2 linked regions of the Oryzias latipes genome follow. The protein of the gene in region 2 interacts with the protein of the main gene of each other region in a biochemical or structural test. Links are inferred from orthologs where the notes say so. Each region holds a gene or a part of one and is shown on either strand. Other genes may lie near its edges.

Region 1 (4,271 bases), on a different chromosome or scaffold from region 2:
AAACACACTGAGTATTTTCCGGACTATAAGTCGCACCGGAGTATAAGTCGCACCAGCCCAAAAATGCATTATAAAGTAGGAAAAAAACAGATAAGACGCACTGGACTATAAGTCCCATTTTGACGGGAAATTTATTTGACAAAATCTGAGGCTAGGGCTGCACGATATGAGGAAAACTCGCGATATGCGATATTGGTGATTAATATTGCGATAACGATATAATTTGCGGTATATAAACAAATATCAAACCAACCAAAAACATCATTTCCATTTCAATGCAACAGTTTAAAAATTATACTCCAAATGACCCTCGTCGACATAGGAGGCAAACATCAAAAATAAAAGGGCTCATTTGATTGATCAACAGCGTAAACGGGTCCTTCCGATTGGTTAAATGCATTAAGGTATTTATTTCATCTTTCAATATTTCAAGCGGCCATGAGTTTGTTTTAGCACATTTAACCCTTGTGCTATCTTAGATGACCCCCCCCCCCCTTACTTTGATGTGTTATTCCTAGCATGACAAAGGTGGATAAAGGTGGAAAGATTTCATGTAATCCATAGACACCAGTGAAGATCACAAATAATTGAAGAAAAAAGGTTCAGTGCACTGTCTAATGGGTCTAGATGACCCAACTCCCAATGTTAAAGTGCCTAGGATAGCACAAGGGTCAAGGTAACCATTTATTGCGATTTTCGCCGTCTTTTGCGGTATGCATATTGCAAAGCTTGATGTCGCGATAACGATAAATTTGCGGTATATTGTGCAGGCCTATCTGAGACCAAGAACTAATAACTTGCAAAACCTCATATGACACAATCATAGCAGACTGTTTATCTCATAATTTCACCGTAATTCTTTCTCATACTTATTTATTTATTCCTTTCATGAAGCATCATTGGCACACTAATACTCTGTTTTCATCCTGTATTTGTAGAAACCGTTGTCATTTTTATTGCATTTCTGAATCTATGAAATCATTGGAAAATAGAATATTATGTTGTTAGCCTTCAAGATCTTACTGTAAAAAAAGGTTTGCTGATTCTCTAAGTCACTTAACATACTCTTAACACCTAACATACCTCATACATCAAATTGACCCAGGAACATCATCTCTGTTCCTCACAAATGAACATAACAGGAGGGTTAACAATGTATTTATTTCAATTTATTTCTAATATAAATCGCTGCAGAATATAAGTCGCACCCCTTGCCAAACTATGAAAAAAAGGGCGACTTATAGTCCGGAAAATACGGTAAATTATAATTATATGGTTCTAAAGTTTCATTGCTTTGGATGCCTGGAACTACATGTGTTATGTATGCACACAATAAAAAGGTTAATATTGTTGCAATTATGAAAGTATTGCTTCCTTTTTTCTTCTTTTAAATACAAAACAAATTGATCAAGACAAAAGTTACATGAATTGTTCTTTAAGTATAAGATAGAATAAGGTATGTGACTCTGTGAAGCCAGATAAATAATACAGTAGTTTAAGATAAACTGGTGAAATGGGTCATATGGAACAAGAACACCAGTCAAATTAGAATTAAAGATGAGCTTTCAACTTATGGACAATAAGCACTAGAAATAATTATGCATCAGCAGAACACAGGTTTCTCTTTTTTGGTTTACCTGCCCTCTGTGCTAGTCTCCAGACCTTCTACTTCTAAGATTGCTTCTCTTAATTCTTCCCTGAGCCTCTGGATCTCTTGCAGCAGGATGCCCTTCCTCCTGCGGATGTCCTCCAGCTCAGAGCGCTCCTCTGGGCTCAAGTCTACTGGGACTGCAGGGGAAGAGAAGAATGATCGCACCACTACTGCAGCTGGACATCATAAATGGTTAAACTATGCCTAACCAATCTGGGTCAACCGGCTCAAGTGGTGGTAAGACAAAAGGGACTTGATTGAAACTGAAATATCAGCTGGGGGATATTATAAAAAAAAAAAACATTTTAAAAAAGACCATGGGGGGAGGGGGGCAGACATTAATGGATGGATTTTGACACACAATGATGCCACTCAAGGAAAAGTTTTCCATTCATTCAATTGTTGACTAAATAGTCCAAGCAAATAAGGAAATTTTTTACTGAGGTTGCCGGGTAAATATGACCAAAAACCACTGCACATCACTCTGGCCCAAGTAAAGACCTGTGCAAAAACATCTGAATGATAAAGGTGGTATTGTAATTTGTGCGTTGAAAAGGTTTAATAGAAATAAGTCACAATAGCTTGACCTTGTTCTTTACGGGTAAAATTCTGTAGCCAACTAAGAATCTCAATATAAAACCCAGTTGTTTCCACAAACCTTTGTTGTCAACATTTTCATTTGCAATAAAGTTGTTTACAAAAAAGATGATCCACAATCTTCTGCAGCGTGAAGCTGTCTCACAAATAATTTATTTGAACCACCAACCACGCCCACAGCCTGGTGTAAATAAGGTTTACATTTTAGAAGAAAAGCCTATACATTTAATAAATATTGTTGTATGCACATTAAAAGCCCGACTCAGTGGCAAGTTTAGATCTGCGACGTCAATTTTATTAAACTAGCACGACGAGGCAATCAACGACACACACTGACTGTGTCTTAGGTAGCTGTTTATTTCATTCAGTGCTTTGTTTTGTTGTTTACGTGATTATATAAAACAATTCACTCCTTTGATTTAAGGAAATATGTAAAGCCGTGTTTATCTTCATGTATATTTTACAACTAGCTACGTTTAGCTACGATATTATGGGCAAAAAAACGAAAGTAACCCCACTTACTGTAGTCCAGGTCATCCATTTTTGGCGCTTTACTTTTAGGCATAAATAAATCAGAGTCGAGTGTCATAAATGTAAAAAAAATTGGGATGTATAAAGTAATATATTCTCAAATCAAAGGAAAACTGAACAACCACTGGTAGCGAAATCCTGGGCCGTAGACAAAGAAGGTGGTAACGCCGGAAGTGGTAACTGAGTTTGTAGAGATGTACTTCCGGTCAGATGTTTTTCAAAATAATGATCTCTGGATTTGACTGTGTAAGGAGAATGACAGCAACATGTTTATCGGCTTTGTTTACACGGTCAGAATGAGTATACGTAATAAAATAGAAATATTATGTCGAGATGTAAATATTCCTTATTAAAAGTATGACTTAGTAAATAAAAGCCAGGTTTAATTTAAAAAAGCCTTGTGATAATATACAAAAAAAATCAATTAAAATAAATGAAACATTTAAAAACACTGATTTGTGGAGTTTATACATTGAAGCCATAATCTGTATTTTCCAAAAATTGAAATAAGGTAAACAATTTTTAGAACATTGTAGAAGAATGGTAAATACCACATTCAATTACTGAATGTGTTTAAAATTTGATTCACGAGTAAATTGTAAAATCTGTGTGAACGTCAATTACTAACTTTCTGATAAAGCTCTGTAAAAGTCTGCCTACCATCTGTTGGCTCTGGAACGCAAAATGAAGTCCTTTGGACCTTATGAGTCCACAAGTGAGTCCATGTCAAAGTCATAAACCTATTGAGTTTAGATCAGATTGTTTTCCAAACTAAGAGGCTATGAAAGATGCTTTAAAAGTAAACTGTTCAAATTAAGGAAGGGCAAAGTGATGCACACTTATAAGGCTTGCATATTTTATTGACAAAGTGTGACAAAAAAAAGACAAATTGATGAGCTACATTTATTTGAAAACAGAGCTAAAAACTGTACATTCTAATATGATTTCATTGGCTTAGTAATAATTACAATTTCTTTACAAGCAGCAAACTATAGACATCTTACTGGCATTGTCAAGGAAGGAATCAGACCAAACGTATGTTTAACACTATAACCCCATTCTGGCTCTAAACAACAACAGGATTAGAAAAGTAAGCTTTCATAGCCGGACTTTCAATGTGAACTAAAAAAGGTTTGGCAGATTTTAGAATTAAAGTGTGTGCAGATTCTCACATAATTCAAATTCACAAGAACAACCTGACATGCTGCACTTACATTATGTAGCTATGTAAGCACAAGGTTAGTATAGTGTTCTAGCTGCAATGTGAAGCAATAAACGTGTCAAAAATTTGACTCAATGTCAGAAATGAAGTTGAACCCATTAAGACCTAATGCAAAATACACATATTGCAGTTTCCATTATCTAAAGGGTACCTAGGAACTTACATTTCAAAAATTCATCAATTTAAAGACTTACTATAAAGATTTGGCCCAGCGTGGTATGCTGATTATGATTCAAGCAGTTGGCACATTATTTACTGACAGATCCGATG
Region 2 (2,628 bases):
GGTTCTGGCCAACACCTGCTGGCCCAGATTCCCCCCTTTATGGGTTTACTGCAGTGAACGTTATGTCCCACATTAAATAGAGTTTTTTCACTAAATTGCTTGACTGTTGCTCTAAGGTCCTGATCAGAGATGGCCTTCGTTCAAATTAGGCCTGCACAATATACCGCAAATTTATCGTTATCGCAATATCCAGCTCTGCAATAGGCATATCGCAAAAGACTGCGAATATCGCAATAAATCGTAAACCCAAAATGTGTTAAAGCAATCTTATGGCAGCTTGACGCTTTTAACGAATCAAATAAATCCCTTTATGCTTTGACCAATCAGATGGACGCCTTCCCATTGTTGACCAATCAGATGGAGGCCTATTATGTTAGATGTTTGTCACCTATGTCGATGAGGGTCATTTGGAGTGTAATTTTAAACTGTTTCTAATGAAATGGGAATGATGTTTTTGGCATTTTTCTATTTTTTTTATATACCGCAAATTATATCGTTATCGCAATATTAATCTCTACTATTGCATATCGCAAGTTTTCCTCATATCGTGCAGCCCTAGTTCAAACAAACAGGTTTCATCGCTCCTCAAAACAATGATCCTGAAAACATGGAGATGCGGCTACCGCCTGTTCTTCACGCCACAGAAGACGCCGCAGACGTCCGGCCTCACCTGTTTGTTTGCGAACACGAGCAGCACGGCGTCCCTTAGTTCATCCTCCGCCAGCATTCTCGACAGCTCCTCCCTGGCCTCGTTCACCCTCTCCCGGTCGTTGCTGTCCACCACAAAAATGAGCCCTGCGAAGAAAGCGGCAGAGACCACCGGCTCAGAAAGACACAGCCAGACAGAGGAATCGAACCTGCATTACAAAACCTTTATGCTGGGCTTTGAAAGAGGAGGTTGCCTCTTTGTAACGATGCTATTTCTACAGACGAACACATAAAATGTTGGAGGACTTCTGAAATCTTTGACTGGATCCAATAGAAACTCTTGAACTGGAGTCTTTGGGTTTAACACACGCGTTTGCTTCAACCTTTGTCATTTGGACGTCATGCGCCACTGTGACCACAAGGCGGCGGTGAAACAGACTTTCGAGTGTCGTGATAAAACACGTGAATGTCACGCGGCTGAGATACAGTCAGACAGCTGTGACACTTCAAAGTTACAGTCGGGAATCTTTGACATTCTGTCAAAAGCTTTGCTTCTAAAAAATATTTCAGGATGTTTAACGTCCAGTTTAACTCGTTGCTAGGTTACCGGGTATTACTAGTTAACCGTGGACCACTTTGGCTATAAAAATGGCAGCATCACTTTTGCCGGGTAATTTTTTACCCGATATAATATACAAACAAACAAAAAGTACTTGTCATAAAAAAAATAGATCAAAATGATCAGCACATGATAAATTAGAGTGGGTTTATTTTATTTCCCACTGTGGTAAGTGTAGCAAAAGGAAAAGTCTTCATCAGGAGTGAAGGACTAAAAATGGAAGACAAAACATTTGGCAGCACAACAGCAGGTTGAAGTGTAGAAAAGAGCCTTGAGAGGAAAAGCTCTGTGAACAGCGAGCCGTGGGAGTCCAAACGTCTACCTGGACGCAGCTTTCAAGCCGATCAGAAGTCAACTAGAATCAGTTCCATCAAACTGGAACTGGTTAGCTGCTAAAAAGACAGTTCCTGAATCAAACTTTCTTTATTTGCCCGTTTTCTGTGACTAAACAACAGTAACTTTGACAACACACACATTTTTTAGTGCTGTTCACTGTTGAACTGCTTAATTCTGACCCTACAGGTGATTTTAAAGATACTGGTGCATTCTTCCCTTGTGAGCGTGTTTCTCTTGGTCTGATTGCCGCTCGGCACAAACCCTGTGCTGGTGTCCGATGTTTCGTTCAGTCACTCCAGCTGACCCGAGACTTAACGGATCTTTTTTCCACAAATATCTGAACATATTATTATTGCACTACTTTGATCTTTTATGTATTTTATTGCATTAGTAATTTTATGAATTGTGTTCTTAATTTGCCTAGTTTTAAACTTTCTTCAGTCCTTTATCGTACAGCACTTTTGTAAATTGCTACGTAAATAATAAATGTCATTCATTTATATAAATGTAGTTCTATTTTAAATAAATCAACAAAGCTTATCAGACATGCAAGTATGTATTTTTTTTCCAGGAGAGTCTGGATGAACGGTTACAGACTCCACACATACTGAGCCAGGAGGGTTTAACTCCATGGGAAACCCAGAACCTGTGAGGATTGCTGAGTTTTCCAGAGCCTCTCTGGATGCTCACTGCAGTTGACAAGAATTAGTCCCATATATGCTAGACCTGCGATATTTTCAACAGCTAAGCACATACACAGTCCACACACACAACACATAAACGAAGCCTTGATTGGCTGAGATCCTTTTCCAGGTGACCACTGTTATCATATTTCATGTATTCTTCTGTTTTCAAATGACTTACGTTAACTCAGATAGTCTAATCCCAGGATCTAAGCGTGACGATTTGGGCCTAAAACAACAACACTGATTTGTTGCCATGGTGAAAATAGACTACTTTTAAGGTGATGTCGTTCCCAAAAGCTTAAAAACGTTTGTTTTTATATTAAAATTGACAAAATAAAA

What was found.
Region 1: the proteins of ADP-ribosylation factor 1 (region 2) and cyth2 are reported together in a solved structure, tested with the Homo sapiens proteins (3 studies listed by BioGRID and IntAct, with this or other methods). The link is inferred for Oryzias latipes from reciprocal best matches to the Homo sapiens genes ARF1 and CYTH2.

The regions. Positions count from the first base shown.
Region 1 is NC_019874.2:19,306,331-19,310,601, reverse strand, and holds the start of cyth2 (cytohesin-2), read right to left. Parts: upstream 2,961-4,271; 5' UTR 2,838-2,960; coding exon 2,771-2,837; intron 1,789-2,770; coding exon 1,638-1,788; intron 1-1,637. UniProt on the Homo sapiens protein: Acts as a guanine-nucleotide exchange factor (GEF). Promotes guanine-nucleotide exchange on ARF1, ARF3 and ARF6. Activates ARF factors through replacement of GDP with GTP.
Region 2 is NC_019877.2:22,745,427-22,748,054, forward strand, and holds part of ADP-ribosylation factor 1, read right to left. Parts: intron 796-2,628; coding exon 671-795; intron 1-670. UniProt on the Homo sapiens protein: Small GTPase involved in protein trafficking between different compartments. Modulates vesicle budding and uncoating within the Golgi complex. In its GTP-bound form, triggers the recruitment of coatomer proteins to the Golgi membrane.